3 linked regions of the Anolis sagrei genome follow. The protein of the gene in region 1 binds, or shares a complex with, the protein of each later gene. Links are inferred from orthologs where the notes say so. Each region holds a gene or a part of one and is shown on either strand. Other genes may lie near its edges.

The links.
Region 2: the proteins of NFKB1 (region 1) and KPNA4 are in contact, whole or in part, in a crystal structure (PDB 7LFC), measured with the Homo sapiens proteins. The link is inferred for Anolis sagrei from reciprocal best matches to the Homo sapiens genes NFKB1 and KPNA4. Residues at the interface, in NP_001158884.1 of Homo sapiens: Glu357, Glu358, Val359, Gln360, Arg361, Lys362, Arg363, Gln364, Lys365, Leu366, Met367; in NP_002259.1 of Homo sapiens: Arg96, Lys97, Leu99, Ser100, Ser101, Asp102, Arg103, Pro105, Phe133, Trp137, Thr140, Asn141, Ala143, Ser144, Gly145, Thr146, Ser147, Thr150, Gln176, Trp179, Gly182, Asn183, Gly186, Asp187, Asn219, Trp222, Val225, Asn226, Arg229, His230.
Region 3: the proteins of NFKB1 (region 1) and thioredoxin-like are in contact, whole or in part, in an NMR structure (PDB 1MDI), measured with the Homo sapiens proteins. The link is inferred for Anolis sagrei from reciprocal best matches to the Homo sapiens genes NFKB1 and TXN. Residues at the interface, in NP_001158884.1 of Homo sapiens: Arg56, Phe57, Arg58, Tyr59, Val60, Cys61, Glu62, Gly63, Pro64; in NP_003320.2 of Homo sapiens: Thr30, Trp31, Cys32, Pro34, Met37, Ile38, Asp58, Val59, Asp60, Asp61, Gln63, Ala66, Ser67, Val71, Lys72, Pro75, Ser90, Gly91, Ala92.

What each region holds. Positions count from the first base shown.
Region 1 is NC_090025.1:27,556,216-27,563,842, reverse strand, and holds the start of NFKB1 (nuclear factor NF-kappa-B p105 subunit), read right to left. Parts: upstream 3,070-7,627; 5' UTR 2,734-3,069; intron 646-2,733; exon of another isoform or gene 630-645; intron 1-629.
Region 2 is NC_090023.1:246,815,194-246,823,139, forward strand, and holds the start of KPNA4 (importin subunit alpha-3), read right to left. Parts: upstream 3,012-7,946; 5' UTR 2,772-3,011; coding exon 2,703-2,771; intron 1-2,702. UniProt on the Homo sapiens protein: Functions in nuclear protein import as an adapter protein for nuclear receptor KPNB1. Binds specifically and directly to substrates containing either a simple or bipartite NLS motif.
Region 3 is NC_090022.1:206,155,140-206,162,334, forward strand, and holds the start of thioredoxin-like, read left to right. Parts: upstream 1-4,098; 5' UTR 4,099-4,134; coding exon 4,135-4,314; intron 4,315-7,195. UniProt on the Homo sapiens protein: Participates in various redox reactions through the reversible oxidation of its active center dithiol to a disulfide and catalyzes dithiol-disulfide exchange reactions.

The sequences.
Region 1 (7,627 bases):
TGTGCTGTGTTTTATAGATTTATTTGTACATAACAACACACCACACTCTATAAAATGAGTTATATTAGTCAGGTGGCCTGTTATATTCCCTGGACATCACTCACCACAGGACTTGAAAATAATAATAATAATAATAATAATAATAATAATAATACACCAGATAAGACTATTAAAACACCAAATCATATTAAAACACGACTCAATCAGGTGGCCTGTTATATTCCCTGGATATCACTCACTACAGGTCGTGGCAACAACAACAACAACAACAACATGAAAATAATATTAAAGCACCAGATAAGACTATTAAAACACCAAATCATATTAAAACACGACTCAATCAAGTGGCCTGTTACATTCCCTCCACATCTCTCACCACAGGACTTGGAAATAATAATAATGATATGAAAATAATATTAAAACACCAAATCACAATATTAAAACACAACTAAATCAGGTGGCCTGTTCTATTCCCTGGACATCACTCACTACAGGAGTTGGAAACAACAACAACAACAACAACAATACGAAAATAATATTAAAATATCAGATAAGAATACTAAAACACCAAATCATATTAAAAGACAACTCAATCAGGTGGCCTGTTATATTCCCTCTACATCACTCACCTCAGGACTTGGAAATAATAATAATAACAATAACAACAACAAAACAACAACAACAATAATAATAATAATAATAATAATAATAATAGGTAGGTAGAGGTAGTCCCCTGACATTAAGTCCAGTCATGTCTGACTCTGGGGTGTGGTGCTCATCTCCATTTCTAAGTCGAAGAGCCAGCGTTGTCCGTAGACACCTCCAAGGTCGTGTGGCCGGCATGACTGCATGGAGCGCCGTTACCTTCCCGCCGGAGCGGTACCTATTGATCTACTCACATTTGCATGTTTTCGAACTGCTAGGTTGGCAGAAGCTAGGGCTAACAGCGGAAGCTCACGCCGCTCCCTGGAATCGAACCTGTGACCTTTCGATCAACAAGCTCAGCAGCTCAGTGCTTTAACCCACTGCGCCACCAATAACAATACACCAAATCATAATATTAAAACACAACTTAATCTGGTGGCTTGTTATATTCCCTCCCACCTCAGGACTAGGAAATAATAATAATAATAATAATAATAATAATAATAATAATATGAAAATACAATTAAAATACCAGATAAGAATACTAAAACACCAAATAATATTTAAACACAACTCAATTGGGTGGCCTGTTATATTCCCTGGACATCACTGATCTCAGGACTTGGAAATAATAATAACAATATGTAAATAATACTGAAACACCAAATCATCATATTGAAAAACTTTTCAGTCAGGTAGCTTGTTGTATTTCCTGGATACCACTCACCACAGGACTTGGCAATAACAATAACAATATGAAATTAAATTAAAACACCATTTAAGAATACTAAAACACCAAATAATATTTAAGCATAATCAGGTGGCCTGCTATATTCCCTGGACATCACTTGCTACGGGGCTTTGAAATAATAATAATAATAATAATAATAATAATAATAATAATAATACACCAAATCATAATATATAACACAACTTAATCTGGTGGCTTGTTATATTCCCTCCGCATCACTCACCTCGGGACTTGGAAGAAATAATAATAATAATAATAATAATATGAAAATATGATTAAAACACCAAGTAATATCAAAACACAATCAGGTGGTCTGTTATATTCCCTGGACATCACTCACTACAGGGCTTCGAAATAATAACAATAATAATAACAATAATATGAAAATACTATTAAAACACCAGGAAAGAATACTAAAACACCAAATAATATCAAAACACAATCAGGTGTCTTGTTATATTCCCTGGACATCACTAATCTCAGGACTTGGCAACAATAGTAATAATAATAATAAGAAGAAGAAAATAATAATATTAAAACACCAGATAAGAATGCTAAAACATCACTAATCTCAGGACCTGGCAACAATAGTAATAATAATAATAATAATAATAATAATAATAATATGAAAATAATATTAAAACACCAGATAAGAATGCTAAATCATCACTAATCTCAGGACCTGGCAACAATAGTAATAATAATAATAATAATAATAATAATAATAATATGAAAATAATATTAAAACCCCAGATAAGAATGCTAAATCATCACTAATCTCAGGACTTGGAAATAACAATAACAATATAATATTGTTATACCAAAAACTAATATTAAAAGACAACTCAGTCAGGTGTCCTGTTATATTCCCTCCACATCACTCACCCCAGGACTTGGAAATAATAATAATAATAAGAAGAATATGAAAATTAAATCACTATATAAGAATACTAAAACACCAAATAATATTAAAGGACAACTCAGTCAGGTGTCCTGTTATATTCCCTGGACATCACTAATCTCAGGACTTGGGAACAACAACAACAACAACAATAATAATAGGATGAAGAAAATAATAATATTAAAACACCAGATAAGAATGCTAAAAATCTCTAATCTCAGGACTTGGAAATAACAATAACAATATAATATTGACACACCAAATCATAATATTCAAACACAACTCAGTCAGGTGGCCTGTTGTATTCCCTCCACTTCACTCACCTCAGGACTTGGAAATAATAATAACAATATGTAAATAATACTGAAACACCAAGTCATCACATTCAAACACTATCCAGTCAGGTGGCCTGTTGTGTTCCCTGGGCATCACTCACCTCAGGACTTGGAAATGGTCTTCTTGAACCTCAGGATAGTCCTGGTTTGAAGGGAAAGAGGGAGAGAAGTCCTGGTGGGCTCAAAAAGAACAAATCCAGAAGAGCCTGAAGGAGGAGGAGGCGCCTCGAGGAGTGAGAGAGAGAGAGAGAGTGTGTGAGGGAGAGATTGGAGCAGGCCGGCCCCGCTGCTTCGGGCTTGGTCGTTGGTGTGAAAGCGAAATGAAAGGAGAGAGGAGGAGAGGAAGGAGGCAGGCAGGCGACTCCCGCCAAGCGCGGCCTCCTCCTCCTCCTCCCTCCGCGGAAGAAACACGCAGCCTCCCCTCCTCCCTCCACGCCCTCTCACTTCCTCGCTGGAAATTCCCACTGACGTTGCTGAGAAAAGGAAGGAAGGAAGACAGAAAGGAAAGAAAGAAAGAAAGAAAGAAAGAAGGCCTCAAAAGTGCTTGCTCTCCTCCCTCAGGCCTTCCTTCATTCAGGCCTTAGAATTATAGAATCAAAGAGTTGGAAGAGATCTCATGGGCCATCCAGTCCAACTCCCTGCCAAGAAGCAGGAATATTGCATTCAAAGCACTCCTGACAGATGGCCATCCAGCCTCTGTTTAAAAGCTTCCAAAGAAGGAGCCTCCACCACACTCCGGGGCAGAGAGTTCCACTCCTGAACGGCTTTCACACTCGTGTTCAGATGGAATCTCCTCTCATAGAATCATAGAATCAAAGAGTTGGAAGAGACCTCATGGGCCATCCAGTCCAACCCCATTCTGCCAAGAAGCAGGAATATTGCATTCAAATCACCCCTGACAGATGGCCATCCAGCCACTGTTTAAAAGCTTCCAAAGAAGATGCCTCCACCACACTCCAGGGCAGAGAGTTCCACTCCTGAACGGTTCTCACACTCGTGTTCAGATGGAATCTCCTCTCTTGTAGTTTGAAGCCATTCTTCCGCGTCCTAGTCTCCAAGGAAGCAGAAAAAAAGCTTGCTCCCTCCCTGTGGCTTCCTCTCACATATTTATACATGGCTATCATGTCTCCTCTCAGCCTTCTCTTCTTCAGGCTAAACATGCCCAGCTCCTTAAGCCGCTCCTCATAGGGCTTGTTCTCCAGACCCTTGATCATTTTAGTCACCCTCCTCTGGACACATTCCAGCTTGTCAATATCTCTCTTGAATTGTGGTGCCCAGAATTGGACACAATATTCCAGGTGTGGTCTAACCAAGGCAGAATAGAGCATGGGGAGCATTACTTCCCTAGATCTAGACACTATGCTCCTATTGATGCAGGCCAAAATCCCATTGGCTATTTTTGCCGCCACATCACATTGTTGGCTCATGTTTAACTTGTTGTCCACGAGGACTCCAAGATCTTTTTCACATGTACTGCTCTCAAGCCAGGCATTGTCCCCCATTCTGTATCTTTGCATTTCGTTTTTCCTGCCAAAGTGGAGTATCTTACATTTGTCACTGTTGAACTTCATTTTGTTAGTTTTGGCCCATCTCTCTAATCTGTCAAGATCGTTTTGAATCCTGCTCCTGTCCTCTGGACTATTGGCTATCCGTCCCAATTTGGTGTCGTCTGCCCTTCATCTAAGTCTAAGAGCTTTCTACGTTCTCGCTTTGGATCCACTTGGACTGGGATTTGTAGTTTGGTGAGGTACCACCAGCACCCTTTGGCAGAGAAGGCTTGTGAAGCTACAACTCCCATGATGACACAGAATAATAAAGTTGGAAGTGACCACACTCTGCCATGAAGTCCAACACTCTGCCATGAAGGAAAAGCACAATCAAAGCACCCCCGACAGATGGCCATCTAGCTTCTCACTACCTCTAAGGATGCTTGCTGTAGATGCAGGTGAAACGTCAGGAGAGAATGCGTCTAGAACAGTGTTTCTCAACCTGGGGGTCGGGACCCCTGGGGGGGTCGCGAGGGCGTGTCAAGCGGGTCGCCAAAGACCATCAGGAAACACAGTATTTTCTGTTGATCATGGGAGTTCTGTGTGCCAAGTCCACAGGGCACTCTGGATATAGGTAAACTACAACTCCAAAACTCAATGTCAGTGCCTACCAAACCCTTCCAGTATTTTCTATTGGTCATGGGAGTTCTGTGAGCCAAGGGTTCTGTGTGGGAAGTATGGCCCAATTCTATTGTCAGTGGGGTTCAGAATGCTCTTTGATTGTACGTGAACTATAAATCCCAGCAACGACAACACACCAAATGTCAAGGTCTTTCCCCCCAAACTCCACCAGTGTTCACATTTGGGCATAATGAGTATTCGTGCCAAGTTTGGTCCTGATCTATCATTGTTTGAGTCCACAGTGCTCTCTGGATGTAGATGAACTACAACTCAAAAACTCAACGTCAGTGCCCACCAAACCCCTCCAGTATTTTCTGTTGGTCATGGGAGTTCTGTGTGCCAAGTTGGGTTCAATTCCATCATTGGTGGAGTTCAGAATGCTCTTTGATTGTACGTGAACTATAAATCCCAGCAATGACAACACGCCAAATGTCAAGGTCTTTCCCCCCAAACTCCACCAGTGTTCACATTTGGGCATATTGTGCCAAATTTGGTCCAGACCCATCATTGTTTGAGTCCACAGTGCACTCTGGATATAGGTAAACTACAACTCCAAAACTCAACGTCAGTGCCCACCAAACCCCTCCAGTATTTTCTATTGGTCATGGGAGTTCTGTGAGCCAAGTTGGGTTCAATTCCATCATTGGTGGAGGTCAGAATGCTCTTTGATTGTAGGTGAACTATAAATCCCAGCATCTACAACTTCCAAATGACAAAATCAACCCCCGCGCCCTTCCAACCCCATCATTATTCAAATGTGGGCGTATCTGATATTTGTGCCAAATTAGGTCCAGTGAATGAAAATACATCCTGCATATCAGATATTTACATTATGATTCATAACTAGCAAAATTACAGTTATGACATAGCAACAAAAAAAATTATGGTTGGAGGTCACCACAACATGAAGAACTATATTAAGGGGTCGCAGCATTAGGAAGGTTGAGAAACACTGCTCTAGAACATGGCCATATAGCCTGAAAAAACCTACAACAACCCATCTAGCTTTTGTTTAAAAGCCTCCAAAGAAGGTGCCTTCACTACTCCCCAGGGCAGAGTGTTCCACTGCTGAACAGCTCTCACAATTAGGAAGTTCTTCCTAATGTTCAGGTGGAATTTCTTTTTCCTGTAGTTTGAAGCCACTGTTCCGTGTCCTAGCCTCCAGGGATCCGGCTGTGGCGCAACTAATTAATAGCCAGCTGCATTAAATCACTACTGACCAAATGTCATGAGTTCAAATCCAGCCCGGGTCAAAGTGAACTCCTTACCATTAATAGTCTAGCTTGCTGTTGACCTATGCAGCCCAAAAGACAGTTGCATCTGTCAAGTATGTCCGAGGATGTGGACATGGTGCTTGGAGGAATGAGAGCTACCACATGCATCCTAGACCCCTGCCCATCCTGGCTTCTGAAGGAGGCCAGAGGGGGATTGGCCGAGTGGGTGAAGGTGGTGGTTAATGCCTCCCTTCGGGAAGGCATATTTCCAGCCAGCTTAAAGCAAGCTGTGATAAAACCGCTGTTGAAGAAACCATCACTGGACCCCACTCAATTCGTCAACTATCGGCCTGTTTCCAATCTCCCCTTTTTGGGCAAAGTAATGGAACGTGTGGTGGCCTCACAACTCCAGGCATTCTTGGTAGACACGGATTATCTGGATCCGGCACAGTCTGGCTTCAGGCCGGGGCATGGTACCGAGACAGCTTTGGTCGCCTTAGTCGATGATCTGCGCCGGGAGCTCGACAGGGGGAGTGTGTCCCTGTTGGTGCTGCTGGACCTCTCAGCGGCCTTCGATACCGTCGACCACGGTATCCTTCTGGGACGCCTCGCGGGAATGGGTCTTGGAGGTACTGTTCTACAGTGGCTCCGCTCATTCCTCGAGGGTCGGTCTCAGAAGGTGTTACTGGGGGACTCCTGCTCAACCCCACAACCTTTGTCTTGTGGGGTTCCTCAGGGTTCAATATTGTCTCCCATGTTGTTCAACATCTACATGAAGCCGCTGGGTGAGATCATCCGGAGTTTCGGGGTGCGATGTCATTTGTACGCAGATGATGTCCAACTCTGTCACTCCTTTCCACCTGTCACTAAGGAGGCTGTCGAGGTCCTGAACCGGTGCTTGGCCGCTGTGACGGTCTGGATGGGGGCGAACAAATTGAAATTGAATCCAGACAAGACAGAGGTACTCCTGGTCAGTCGCAAGGCCGAACAGGGTATAGGGTTACAGCCTGTGTTGGATGGGGTCGCACTCCCCCTGAAGACGCAGGTTCGCAGTTTGGGTGTGATCCTGGACTCATCGCTGAGCCTGGAACCCCAGGTTTCGGCGGTGACCAGGGGAGCATTCGCACAGTTAAAACTCGTGCGCCAACTGCGCCTGTACCTTGGGAAGTCTGACTTGGCCACGGTAGTCCACGCTCTGGTTACATCCCGTTTAGACTACTGCAACGCTCTCTACGTGGGGTTGCCTTTGAAGACGGCTCGGAAGCTCCAATTAGTCCAACGGTCGGCAGCCATGATACTAACAGGAGCGGAGCACAGGGAGCACACAACTCCTCTGCTGCACCAGCTCCACTGGCTGCCGATTTGCTACCGGGCTCAATTCAAAGTGCTGGCGTTGGCCTTTAAAGCCCTAAACGGTTCTGGCCCAACCTACCTATCCGAACGTATCTCGGCCTATCAGCCCACCAGGACCCTAAGATCTTCTGGGGAGGCCTTGCTCTCTATCCCGCCTGCTTCACAGGTGCGGCTGGCGGGGACGGGAGACAGGGCCTTTTCTGTGGTGGCCCCTCGGCTCTGGAACGCCCTTCCCATGGAGGTAAGATCAGTCTCCTCGC
Region 2 (7,946 bases), on another chromosome or scaffold:
AGATCTAGGGAAGTCATGCTACCCCTCTATTCCGCTTTGGTTAGACCACACCTGGAATATTGTGTCCAATTCTGGACGCCACAACTCAAGAGAGATATTGACAAGCTGGAATGTGTCCAGAGGAGGGAGACTAAAATGATCAAGGGTCTGGAGAACAAGCCCTATGGGGAGCGGCTTAAGGAGTTGGGCATGTTTAGCCTGAACAAGAGAAGGCTGAGGGGGAGATATGATAAAAAGGTAAATGTTGTCTGACTCTGGGGTGTGGTGCTCATCTCCATTTCTAAGCCGAAGAGCCAGCGTTGTCCATAGACACCTCCAAGGTCATGTGGCCAGCATGACCGCATGGAGCACCGTTACCTTCCCGCTGGAGCGGTACCTATTTATCTACCCACATTTGCATGTTTTCGAACTGCTAGGTTGGCAGAAGCTGAAGCTAACAGCAAGAGTTCACGCCGCTCCCTGGAATCGAACCTGCAACTTTTTGGTCAACAAGCTCAGCAGCTCAGTGCTTTAACCCACTGCGCCACCGGGGGTGGGTGGGGGGGTGGAGATATGATAGCCATGTATAAATATGTGAGAGGAAGTCATAAGGAGGAGGGAGCAAGCTTGTTTATTGCTTCCCTGGAGACTAGGACGCGGAACAATGGCTTCAAACTACAAGAAAGGAGATTCCGTCTGAACATGAGGAAGAACTTCCTGACTATGTATTGTCGAAGGCTTTCATGGCTGGAATCACTAGGTTCTTGTGGGTTTTTTCGGGCTATAGAGCCATGTTCTAGAGGCATTTCTCCTGACGTTTCGCCTGCATCTATGGCAAGCATCCTCACTACCTCTGAGGATGCTTGCCATAGATGTAGGCGAAACGTCAGGAGAAATGCCTCTAGAACATGGCTCTATGGCCCGAAAAAACCCACAAGAACCTAACTTCCTGACTGTGAGAGCCGTTCAGCAGTGGAACTCTCTGCTGCGGAGTGTGGTGGAGGCTCCTTCTTTGGAAGCTTTTAAACAGAGGCTGGATGGCCATCTGTCAAGGGTGATTTGAATGCAATATTCCTGCTTCTTGGCAAAATGGGGTTGGACTGGATGGCCCATGAGGTCTCTTCCAACTCTTTGATTCTATGATTCTATGAACGTTACATTTTTATTTATATAGATTATTATTATTATTATCTCAGGTCTGGGCAAACTTCGGCCCTCAGAGTGTTTTGGACTCATAAGCGACTGAGAGGGAAAAGGAAAGGGCCTGAGGCTGTTAGGAATGGTGGGAGTTGATCTGTTAATCCCACAAACGAATGGGGGGACGATGCCTGGCTCGAGAGCAGTATGAGGAGCGGCTGGAATATTGTGTCCAATTCTGGGCACCACAACTCAAGAGAGATATTGACAAGCTGGAATGTGTCCAGAGGAGGGAGACTAAAATGATCAAGGGTCTGGAGAACAAGCCTATGAGGAGTGGCTTAAGGAGTTGGGCATGTTTCGCATGAAGAAGAGAAGGCTGAGAGGGGATATGATAGCCATGTATAAATATGTGAGAGGAAGCCACAGGGAGGAGGGAGCAAGCTTGTTTTCTGCTTCCTTGGAGACTAGGATGCGGAACAATGGCTTCAAACTACAAGAAAGGAGATTCCATCTGAACATGAGGAAGAACTTCCTGTCTGTGAGAGCCGTTCAGCAGTGGAACTCTCTGCCCCAGAGTGTGGTGGAGGCTCCTTCTTTGGAAGCTTTTAAACAGAGGCTGGATGGCCATCTGTCAGGGGTGCTTTGAATGCAATATTCCTGCTTCTTAGCAGAATGGGGTTGGACTGGATGGCCCATGAGGTCTTTTCCAACTCTTTGAGTCTATAAGTAGTTTCTACTATAAGAACCGTTAAGCAGTGAAATAGATTGCCTCAGAAAGTGGTGGACTCTTTCTATTTGGAATAATTAAATCATAGGATCTTACAATTGGAAGGGACCACAAGGGCTATGCCAGTGCAACTCACTGCTGTGCAAGAATACATAACTATAGTGTGCCTAAAAGATGGCCATACCACCTCTGCTTAAAGACACCTGAAGATGAAAAGTCCATTGCTCTCCAAAGCAGCCTGTTTCCCTGTTGAACAGCTCTCATAATCACGAAGTTATTTCTAAAATTTAGGTAGAATTTCTTTCTTGGCAGAATGGGGTTGGACTGGATGGCCCATGAGTTCTCTTCGAACTCTGATTCTATGAACGTTACATTTTTATTTATATAATTATAATTACTATTATTATCTCAGGTCTGGGCAAACTTCGGCCCTCAGAGTGTTTTGGACTCATAAGCGGCTGAGAGGGAAAAGGAAAGGTCCTGAGGCTGTTAGGAATGGTGGGAGTTGAAGTCCAAAACACTCTCGGGGGCCGAAGTTTGCCCAAGCCTGCTCTCTCTGATATTATGAATCACAAGGCGATTCGAAGAGATATGAAAAAGGGAAGCAGGAAAGCGGCGGCGTCGTCACTGCGCGCGGAGGCCTAGGCCGCGGCCTCGCAGGCGAATCCCAGCGGGCCCCACCCTCCCTCTGGCGGCGGAGGAGGAGGAAGAAGGACGAGGCCGGCCGGCGGGTGAGGGAAACCAGGCCCCGCCGCGGATTATAAAGCCACAGGCCCTCACCAAGCAAGCAAGCCAAGCCCTCTCTCTTAACCCCCTCCTTCCCTCCTTCCCTCAGGAGAGAGCGGCGCTACTCTACCTCCAGGTCGCGGCCTTTGTTCTTGAAGTTCTTCAGCCGTTGGTTGTCCGCCTTTTCGTTGTCGGCCATGGCGGCAGGAAGGTAGGGAGCGAGGCCTTCCTCCCTCCCCGGCCGGGCCCCCGCTTCTCCTTCTCTGTCGTCGCCTTGCTTCGAAGGGGCCTTGAGGAGGCCTTGAGGCCTATCTTCGCCTCTTCCGCCTCTGGTGCCGGTAGAGCGAGAGAGAGGAAGGAAGGAAGGAAGGGAAGGAAGGAAGGGAAGCAGCGGCCCAGCCTCGCGCGCAGTCAGGCGCCCCTAGCCACGCCCCCTTGCCCCTTAGCCCCGCCTCTTCCCGCCCACAGCGCGCTCTGATTGGGCAGCGCTCCGTGATGGAGAGGGGCGAAGGGAGGGAGAGGTGCGCGTGAGCCGAGAGGGGGCGGGGCCTAAAGGGACTTCCTCTTCAGCCCGTCTCAGGCGATAGGCCTGGGCCGCCATTTTGGGCCAGTCGCCAAGGAGACCTCCTCGAAAGCTGCGCTCCCGTCTCGTTTAGGAAGGAAGGCCGGCCTTGTCCAACACCTACTCTCAGGAAGGTGGGATACGTACAGTTTAGTATAGTGTACCTCAGGCATGAGCTAACTTGGGCCCTCCAGGTGTTTTGGACTTCAACTCCCACAATTCCGGTAGGGTGTTCTACACTATAGAATTAATGCTATGGTATTCTTGTCTCCTGTGCTATGCTAATGTTATAATATAGTGTAATAAAATATATTGTATATGCATGTGCCGTTACGCCCAGACGCTTTAAAATAAAACTTTGACGTGCTGCTATCTATGTCTGGGCGAAACTGCTGGGGTCTTTTTTTGGGCAGATTGAGCTTTCTTGAATAACTGAGTCCACTTCAAGAAACATTAAACAGGGTATTTATTCACGAAGTCCTGGTAGACTTGGCTCAGCTTATCAATATTACAAAACAATCAATGAGTAATAAACTCAATCTATATTAACAATCAAGGTGAAAGAAGAAAGCGCAAAAGCTGGGTTGCAGCGAAACAAAAAAAACCAAGATTATGGCAACAAGAATGATTCACAACTGGAAAATAGAGGGAGAAAATGTGGAGGCCGTGACAGACTTTGTATTTCTAGGCGCAAAGATTACTGCAGATGCAGAGTGCAGCCAGGAAATCAGGAGACGCTTACTTCTTGGGAGGAGATCAATGTCCAGTCTCGATAAAATCGTAAAGAGCAGAGACATCAGACTGGCAACAAAGATCCGCCTAGTCAAAGCCATGGTATTCCCTGTAGTAACCTACGGATGTGAGAGCTGGACCTTAGGGAAGGCTGAGCGAAGGAAGATCGATGCTTTTGAGCTGTGGTGTTGGAGGAAAGTGCTGAGAGTGCCTTGGACTGCGAGAAGATCCAACCAGTCCATCCTCCAGGAAATAAAGCCCGGCTGCTCACTGGAGGGAAGGATACTAAAGACAAAGTTGAAGTACTTTGGCCGCATCATGAGGAGACAGCAAAGCCTAGAGAAGACAATTATGCTGGGGAAAGTGGAAGGCAAAAGGAAGAGGGGCCGACCAAGGGCAAGAAGGATGGATGGCATCCTTGAAGTGACTAGACTGACCTTGAAGGAGCTGGGGGTGGTGACGGCCGACAGGGAGCTCTGGCGTGGGCTGGTCCATGAGGTCACAAAGAGTCGGAGACAGATGACTGAACGAATGAACAACAACAACAACAATGTGTGAAAAAGATCTTGGAGTCCTCATGGACAACAAGTTAAACATGAACCAACAATGTGATGTGGCGGCAAAAAAAGCCAATCGGATTTTGACCTGCATCAATAGGAGTATAGTGTCTAGATCTAGGGAAGTAATGCTACTCCTCTATTGTGCCTTGTTTAGACCACACCTGCAATATTGTGTCCAATTCTGGGCACCACAATTGAAGAGAGATGTTGACAAGCAAATAAAATGATCAAGCGTCTGGAGAACAAGCCCTATGATGAGGAGTGGCTTAAGGAGTTGGTATGTTTAGCCTGAAGAAGAGAAGGCTGAGGGGAGATATGATGGCCATGTGTAAATATGTGAGAGGGAGTCATAGGAAGGAGGGAGCAAGCTTGTTTTCTGCTTCCCTGGAGACTAGGAACAATGGCTTCAAACTACAAGAGAGGAGATTCCATCTGAACATTAGGAAGGACTTCTTGACTGTAAGAGTTGTTCAGCAGTGGAACTCTCTGCCCTGGAGTGTGGTGGAGGCTCCTTCTTTGGAGGTTTTTAAACAGAGGCTGGATGGCCATCTGTCAGGGGTGCTTTGAATGCAGTATTCCTGCTTCTTGGCAGGGGGTTGGACTGGATGGCCCTTGAGGTTTCTTTCAACTCTATGATGCTATGATTCTAATAGTATAATGTAATACAAGATAATACTAATAATATGATATCATAATTGTATATTTTATATTACTAATAATATTACGATATAACGGTATAGTACAATATAGTAATATATAATACTGATATTGTTCTATGCTAATAATATAATATATTGTATGTATATTATATCTTGTAAGCCTCTCTAAGTTCCCATTGGGGTGAGAAGGCCGGCATATTAATGTCGTAAATAAATAAATATTCTGGGAATTGTAATTTAACGAGGTATTTAGCCATTTCTGCCAAATTATTTTGGTATCTCACTAAATTACAACTCTACAGATTCTTTTGCATTGAGACATGGTAATTCCTAACAATTCCTGTAGGCTGTTAGAAATTGTGGGAGTTGCAATTGCAAAATATCTGCAGGGCCCAAGTTTGCTCAGGCCTGGTATACAAAGTATAGTAGTATATATAGTACAATGTAATAATATATAATACTAATATTGTGCTGTGTTAATAATATATAATAATATATACATGTAATATTAAAAATCATGTAATGCAATATGTTGCTACTATTATTATTATTATTATTATTATTTCCGTCACTTTTACCCCGCCCTTCTCACCCCCGGGGGGGGGGACTCAGGGCGGCTTACAGAGGAAGGCACAATTCGATGCCTTTATCACACATACATACATATATAAACAAATCAAACAATTACAAATTAAGAGTTTAAAAATATCAATACACATTAATACAATAACACAGTAGTTGGTTAATCCTGAGTTCAGCGTTCGAAGTTTCATAAGTCCATTCCATACTAATAATACAGTATAATACTACTGATAATATACGGGGGGCTGCTGATAAGTCTTTGGCTTTGTCTTCTTCTTTTTGTTTCTATGGTAACAAATGTTACATCACATGAAAGCCTTATGTGTCTAATACATGTTTTCAAAATTTTGTGTTTGTAGCTTAATGCAACAGTGATGTAGGCATGCAGGAAAACAAAATGGCGGAGTCTAAGGTGATATTAACAGCAAATGAGAGCAGAGAAGTGATAAAATTCTTGTTTCTGCAAGGAAAGTCAGCAAAGGATATTCATGGTGATATGCTGCAGACATTGGGGGATCAATGCCCTTCATATTCTACAGTTAAGAACTGGGTTGCCAAATTTAAAACTGGCCACGTCAGCACCAATGATGAGAAACGTCCTGGACGACCGAGAGTGGTTGTTGTTCCAGCGATTGTCGATGCTGTTCACAACCTCATACTGGAGAATCGGCTAATTTCAGCTAAAGGAATAGCAGACATCATGGGGATTTCTCGTGAACGTGTTTGTGTCATTATCCATGAACATTTGAACATGAAGAAGCTATCTGCAATGTGGGTCCCAAAATGTTTGACAACAGATCAGAAAAACATGCGAGTGAAAACTTCTCGGTCCATTTGTCAGCGTTTCAGGACTGATGAGAACTTCCTGGATCAACTAGTCACTATGGATGAGACCTGGATTTATTTGTATGACCCTGAAACCAAGGAGCAGTCAAAAGAGTGTAGGCACAGTGGTTCTCCACGTCCAAAGAAGTTCAGGGTGCAAAAATCAGTCACAAAAGTGATGGTGTCTGTGTTCTGGGATAAGGAGGGCGTGCTGCTAGTGGACTACCTTCAAAATGGTTCCACCATCAATGCAAGGTATTACATTGAACTTTTGGACCAGTTGAAGGCAGCTCTGCAGGCCAAAAGGCGAGGCAAGCTGTTGAAAGGAATCTTGTTCCTGCAAGACAATGCCTCTGCTCACACTGCACAAGAGACCATGGCAAAACTGGTGGAGCTTGGCTTCCAGCTGGTTGACCACCCACCTGATTCACCGGATCTAGCTCCCTCTGACTATCATCTGTTTCCAAACCTGAAGAAACACATCCAGGGTACCAAATTTCACACCATTTCTGATGCCATGGCTGCTACGGATGACTGGTTTGAGGCACAACCAAAATCCTTCTTTTTGCAAGGCTTACAGAACTTGGAATACCGATGTAAGAAGTGTGTTGATATCAGTGGAGAGTATGTGGAATAAATGTAAAATTTCATCTTCCTATTTAGTTTCTGGGTAAAGCCAAAGAATTATTGGCAGCCTCTTGTATGATCATAATACTGTTTTATTATTCGTATTCTATTGCATTATAATATTATTGTATATTAGTAAATTTTAAATTGCAGGTATGTATAAACACCTACTTAATGGATTGGAGAATAGTTGTTCATACTGTTTCTTGAAAGATCATTGAGGTCATAAATTTTGCCTCAAAGGAAAAGCAATGTTAAGCTAGTGCTACCTATGTTAATCTGGACTGCCATCTTTAGAAGAAAAGATGAACTATTAGTAATATATATTTCAGCTCTTGAAAAGATGGGTGAATAGATGAGCTCCAACACTCCAGTCCTACGGGGCGTTCATTAAAGATGTGCCCTAACCCACTTCTATTTATCACAGGATGCTGAAACTGCACGTGTGTAATGATATAAGTCTCTATAGGTTACGTGCAGTTTACAACTCAGAACTGATAACAGTCTTGATTTTACAGGTGCTGAAATGGTGTGAGGTTGATAATCGACCCAGTGGAATACAGAGCAGTCATCAAGTTCCTTTACTTAAAAGGCCGCACACCAAAAGAGATGTTCAAAGAGATGAAAGAGGTTTATGGTGATGATTCCCCATCATATGATGAAGTTAAGAACTGGCATCGTCAGTTCAAATGTGGTCGGACTTCAGTGCAAACAGCTCCAATTCCAAGGTGACACTATGCTGTTGATGAACACAACATCCAACAAGTGGAGGTCCCCATTTCGGAAAATAGCTGTGTAACCATTTGCCACCTAGCCCAAAATATCAA
Region 3 (7,195 bases), on another chromosome or scaffold:
CTCAGGTGTTTTGGCCAACTCCCAGAAATCTCAGCCAGTTTACCAGCTGTTAGTATTTCTGGGAGTTGAAGGCCAAAACATCTGGGGACCCACCGTTTGAGAATCACGGCTCTAATGACTTTTCAACATTTTTGTTTCTGGCCTGAAAGGACTGATTGTTCATGGGAAAGGGCCTTCATTGCTGTGGTACTGTGTCTATATTTGCTTTTAATTCTATTGATTTACTTTGATTTTGACATTTATACTTATATAGATGAGCCATATCCACCTTGGGTCCTAGGACCGAGGAAAATTCAGTTTATTAACAACCTCAAAAACCACTGCCCTGAATCCATTATGAGTCGTTTTCAATTGCTATCCAAATCTAATTGATCAAATGGGCCTGCTCGCATTGGGATGAGGAATTCGATTTAGGGATAAACTTGTTATTCTTTATTCACTTAGCTGGAAGTAAACTCTGTCGAATACAATGTGTCTTAGTCATGAGCACAAAGTAGCCTAAATCAAGTGATTTTAAACTTGAAAACATATATTGCCCCCTGCCTCTGGAATTCCCTTCCGAAGGAAATCTAAATGCCCCCCTTGTTGCCCTCCTTCAAAACGCAGCTAAAAATGTTTCTGTGCACCCAAGCATACAGAGAAGCAGAGGGTTAAGGTTTTAAGAAATAGGGAACGGATTTGGAATATGGCTTTTAATACTGTATCATTTGCACTGCTCAGTGTAGTACTGTGTTGTATTGTTTAATTACGATTTTTAAATGATTGAAATCCTGTTGTGTTTTTTACATGTTTTATTAAATTATGTATGCATGTATTTATTTATTTGTTGGCATTGAATACTTGGGAGGCCCTGGTGGCACAATGGGTTAAACCCTTGTGCCAGCAGGACTGAGGCCCGATAGGTTGGAGGTTTGAATCCAGGAAGAGTGCAGATGAGCTCCCTCTGTCAGCTCCAGCTCCCCATGCAGGGACATGAGAGAAGCCTCCCACAAGGATGGTAAAACATCAAAAGATCCGGGCATCCCCTGGGCATTGCAGATGGCCAGTTCTCTCACATCAGAAGCGACTTGCAGTTTCTCAAGTAGCTTTTGACACCAAAAAAAAAAAAATGAACACTTGCCTTTTGTGACATTAGCTGTTCTGAGTCACCTATCAGGAGATGGGGTGAGATACAAATAAAGATCATTATTATTATTATTTGATACATAAGAATATTAGTACACAGCAAACAAGATTACTATGCTGGCTTTTGCATTTGATCACACATCAGACACTTCCCAATTGTCTAGGACTGTGTGATGTATCGGCAAATGATGTGTACAGATCAGAATAGGGTGGCCTTTTGCAGCTGACAGATGGTAATTCTGTCAGCTGCAAAAGTGCAGGCCAAGGTCTTTAGGCACTGCGCCAAGTGTGCCAATTACCACTGATACCAACTTTACTGGCTTGTGCCAGAGTCTTTGCAGTTCTATATTATTATTATTACTACTACTACTACTACTACTACTACACTTTTATTTATTTATTGTGTCAGAAGCAAATTGAGAATACAGTTATAATCCATATAAACTTACTTTGACCAGAAGCTGGCCACTTCAAATGCTTCCGGTGTGGCTGTAAGAAGGTCCTCCATTGTGCATGTGGCAAGGCTCAGGCCACATTGTAGTAAATGATCTGTAGTTTGCTCTTGTCCACACTCGCATGCCATAGACTCCACTCCACTCCATTTCTTAAGGTTGCCTCTGCATTTCATAGTGACAGAGCGCAGTCTGTTCAGTGCCTTCCAAGTCACCCAGTCTCGTGTGCCCAGAGGGGAGTCTCTTGTTTGGTATCAGCCATTGAGTGAGATTCCAGGTTTTTGCCTGCCACTTTTGGACTCTTGCTTGCTGAGGTGTTCCTGCAAGTATCTCTGTAGATCTTAGGAAACTATTTCTTGTTTTAAGGCATTGGCTTGCTGGTTGATATCCAAACAGATGAGAGAAGCCTCCCCGCAGGATAGTAACAGATCTGGGTGTCCCCTGGACATCTTTGTAGATGGCTGGTTCTCTTACACCAGAAGTGACTTGCAGCATTATTATACTTATCGTGCTATTTATTTATCATGTCAGAAGCAAATAGAGAATATAGTTATAATGAATAAAAAAACACAAAGTTACAAACTTGGCATTATGCTAATCATGCTGCCACTAATTGTGCTGCCAGTCATATAAAATCAATTTTAAACCTATTTTAACAGTAACTCTCAAGCAACCAGAAACTGCATTTATCTGCATCATAGGTGCCAGTTAACTTTTCTTTTTGTCTCAGGTGTGAGAGAATTGACTGTCTGCAAGGATGTTGCCCAGAGGATGCCTGGATGTTTTGATGTTTTATCATCCTTGTGGGAGGCTTCTCTCATGTCCCCACATGGGGAGCTGGAGCTGGCAGAGGGAGCTCATCCATGCTCTCTCCAGATTCAAACCTCCTACCTGTTGGTCTTCAGTCCTGCCAGCACAAGGATTTAGCCCACTGCACCACCGAGGGCTCCTGCCAGTTAACTAAGAGCCTAGTATAATAATAATAATAATAATAATATTAATAATAATAATAATATAATGTGATATATTTGTTTTTGAAGGCTTTCATGGCCAGAATCACTGGGCTGTTGTGAGTTTACCGGGCTGTATGACCATGTACCAGTAGAATTCTCCTCTGACGCTTCCCCCACATATATAGCATGTATCCTCAGAAGTTTGTTGGAAACTAGACAAGTGGAGTTTATATATCTGTGGAATGTCAAGGGTGGCAGAAAGAATTCTTGTCTTTTGGAGGCAAGTGTGTATGTTGCTTTAAATCCTGGGACCAGCTAATACCTCATAACAAAGGATTCCTCCAGTCAGGAAGCAGCCAGGCTTTGACACTGCAAGGCTATTCAATGCTAAGGAAGGAAGCCAATTGCACACTTGCCTCAAGCAGGCAAGAGTTCTTTTTCCCACAACCTCTGGGGATGCCTGCCATGGATGTGGGTGAAACGTCAGGAGAGAATGCTTCTGGAACATGGCCATATAGCCTGGAAAATTTACAGAAACCCAATGTGATATTTATTCAGAAACATGGAGGGCCACATCATTTAGATTTACAACCATCCAATCACAATCCTGTTTTCCTGCCCATCTCTGCTGCAGGAAACAAAACAAAGATCATTGTGGTGTTGTAGGGTTTTTTGGGCTATATGGCCATGATCTAGAGCAGGCATCCTCAAACTGCGGCCCTCCAGCTGTTTGGACCTCCAACTCCCAGAAGCCCTAACAAGCTTGTTCAGTTGTCAGGAATTCTGGGAGTTGAAGGCCCAAACAGCTTGAAATTTGAAGATGTCTGGTCTAGAGGCATAAACCCTTTTTCCTAGTTCCAACAGATCTCACTACCTCTGAGGATGCTTGCCATAGATGCAGGCGAAATGTCAGGAGAGATTGCCTCTAAACCATGGCCATATAGCCTGAAAAAACCTACAACAACCCAGTGATTCCGGCCATGAAAGCCTTCGACAATACAAAGATCATTGTATTTGTATGGCCATGTTCCTGAAGCATTCTCTCCTGACGTTTCACCCACATCTAGGGCAGGCACCCTCAGAGGTTGTGAGGTCTGTTGGAAACTAGGCAAGTGAGGTTTATATATCTGTGGAATGTCCAGGGCGGGAGAAAGAACTCTTGTCTGCTTGAGGCAAGTGTGCATGTTGCAGTTGGCTACCTTGATTAGCATTTAATGGCCTTGCAGCTTCAAAGCCTGGCTGCTTCCTGCCCAGGGGAATCTTTTGTTGTGAGGTGACAGCTGGCCCCACCCTTACTTCAAGCAGACAAGAGCTCTTTTTCCCACCCTGGACATTCCTCAATGCAATCCATCCACGCAGGGTTTTGCTGTCCTTGTTTCCCTGCCTCAATCAATACTGGGAAAGGATTGTATTTTCTGCATCATGCTTCCCACTCTGTCCATTTCCAAGGCTGGCCCAGAAGCCCCGCCCCTTCCAAAACAGGGAGGGGGGAGAAGGAGGTCCTGGTTTGCGCATGCGCCCCTCCACCCTGGGCTTCCCTTTCCCTTGCGCCTGCGCAGAAGCAACCTCCCTCCCAAAGAGGGGCCTCCCGTCCATATAAGAAGATGAAGGAAGGCGGCGCCAATGAGAGCCCGAAAGCAGCCACCGAGGAGTCGAAGCCGGAGCCGGAGCCTGACCCGGGACCCAGCAAAGAGCCGCCGGAGCCGCCGAAGAAGGAGTCGAAAGAGGCGAAGGAAGAGGCTGCTGCTGCTGCCGCCAAGATGGTGAAAGTCATCGGGAGCCTGGTAAGGCCCTCAGGCCTCGAGCAGGCTTCGAACGCGGCGCATCCGGGCATTTTCGGGAGGATTCCCAGCATTGGGGGAACATCGCCTTCGCCTTGTTTGCTGCAGCTGGGCGGAGTGGGCGCCTCTGGTGCAAAGGCTGGCCATTCCCATAGGGCTGAGGCAGCCTAGGGAGCATGGGCTTTGGTGTGCTGTGCTCCTGCAGCCCTGTTGCATCAGCATTGATGCCTCCCTCCCTCCCTCTCCCCTGCATGGTTTGTCTTCTGCCCATCAGGCTCCTCCTTGCCTCCACCCCAGGTTTTCTCCATTTGGAAAAAAAGCACTTCCCAGCAGTTATGCCTTTTTATTATTATTGCCACATTTAGGTTTTGATACTATTCAAGTGGGCAAGGGGCAGGTTGCCAAAACTGGGTCGTCCTCCTTAGCATTACTGATTAATGGCCCAAACTAAAATGAGATTTGAATTGCCCAAATAAAAATTTATATATTTGTATGTTTGTGTGTGTGTGTATTAATTTTGGACTCCATTTACAATTCATGCATGCATGCACTCTAATATTAGAAGAAGCAGAATTGTGTACTTTTTGGTTAGGTAGGAAACTTAGGCCCCTTCCACACAGCTGAATATAATCCCACATTATTTGCTTTGAACTGGGATATATGGCAGTGTGGACTCAGATAACCCAATTGTGGGTCATTCTGCCTTGATATTCTGGGCTATATGGCTGTGGACACACAAGTTTCAGGCATGTTTTACTAACCTGCTGAAACTCCTGGAATAAAATGATGCATCTCAAAGGGATGCCATCTCTCTGCTTTTTTTAAATGCTGAAACATGGCAACTTGAGCTCCTCAGTGCAGTTTGCTGCAAGGGAAGTATAGCTGACTTCCGTGGGATCCTATGTCTTAAGGTGGGACTTCAGTTGTTGTGTCCCTACAAGTCATTTCTGGCGTACGGCAAACAAAAAGCCACACTTTTTGCCATTGCCTTCCCCTGAAGCGGGAGATGGTGACTTGTCCAGTCAGTATCAATGGGATCCTGTTTCTACTCAGAAGTAAGCTAGAACTTCTGTTTGCTGTTTCTAAGAGCCCTTCCACTCAGTCCTATATCTCAGAATATCAAGGCAGGAAATCCCACATTATCTGAGTGTGGACTCAGATAACCCAGTTCAAAGCAGATATTGTGGGATTTTCTGCCTTGATATTCTGGGATATAGGGCTGCGTGGAAGGGCCCTGACTTATGGTCTATTACATAAACCCCACTTGCCCAGTTTCCAACAGCCCTCACAACCTCTGAGGATGCCTGCCATAGATGTGGGCAAAATGTCAGGAGGGAATGCTTCTGGAACATGGCCATACAGCCCAGAAAACACAGCAACCCCAAAAGCCACACTATCACAGGGCTTCCTTAGCAAGATGTGTTCAGAAGAGGTTTTGCCATTGCCTTCCTCTGACGCTGGGGGCCCTTCCACACAACCCCATATCCCAGAACATCAAGGCAGAACATTCCACAATACCTGCTTTGAACTGGGTTATCTGAGTCCATGCTCAGATAATGTGGGATTTTCTGCCTTGATATTCTGGGATATAGGGCTGTGTGACCCTCCGAGAGTGTGACTTGTACAGCAAGTTTCTGTGGGATCCTGTTTCTACTCACAAGTAAGCTAGGACTTCTTTTTCTAACTTATGGCCTCTAACAGGTTGTTCTTGGTAAAATTTGCATGCAAAGGGTTTGCCATTGCCTTCCCTCTGTGGCTGAGAGAGTGTGGCTGGCCCAAGGCTACCCAGGGTTTTTTTTGGCCGAGTGAGGATTCGAACCCTGGCCTCTGGAGTAATAGCCACATTGGCTATCAAGCTGGGACTTAGAAAACCATCGACCTAACGTTTAAGATTATACGCATTCACATGTTAGCCGGGACTTCCTTACAGATAAATTGGTATGAGATACTGGCCTTAAACTATCCAAACTTGTGGCATAGTTAGTCCATGTTTCAGCGGATGCATCTGCTCTGTAGAATGAATGCAGTTTGGTGCTACTTTAGCTGCCATGCCTCAATTCTATGGAATCTTGGGAGTTATAGTTTGATGACGGCTTGACTGCTCAAGAGTGTTGGTGCCTCACCCAACTCCAAAGGTCAGGATTACATAGCACTGAGCTGTGGCCCTTAAAGTGGTGTCGAATTGTATTCATTCTCCAATGTGCGTACACCCAGAGCTGGCTTTTCCCTTCGGCAACTGACTCCTTTTGGTATCAGTGTTGTAGATAGTATTTGTTTTCTTTTTCCAAATTTGTGCCCAGGTGAACTGCCTCTTGTTTTGAGTCTTCTCCTCCGCTGTTTTGCAGCAGGCTTTAATGGCTGCGCAAAGGGGTGCAGTGCCCGCCAAATGGAGTGGAGGCGGGTGGAGATCTCCGCTCTGTTGCTCTCCAATGAGAGAGGGAAAGGGGGAGGAGGGAAATGGCCGAAGAGCAGGGAAAGAAGCAGCAGCAACATTTGCAGCAAAGGAAATGAAATGATCACTGCAATAACCTGGCACACGGGCTTCCTTGCTAAGCAAGCTTCCCAGTCTCCCTTATAGACATTCCCAGCTGTCCGGGGAACCTCTCTTCCATTCGCTGGGGTTTATCAGCCTGGAATGTCTTGCTGATTACTTCCTAATGTAAAACTAGCTTTCTTTTGTTTCTGTTGTTCAGCATATAAGTCCTCGTTCCTTATTGTAAGTTCAGATGTATAGGCATTATCCACATTATGAACAAGATTTGTCTTTAAGTTGAATTTGTATTGGAACAGGTACATTGTCCAATTGTAGCTCCAGACAAAAATATATATGTTTTTGCTTTGGATCACATAGGGAAGAGTGAATACCCCCATGATGTTTGTGTGT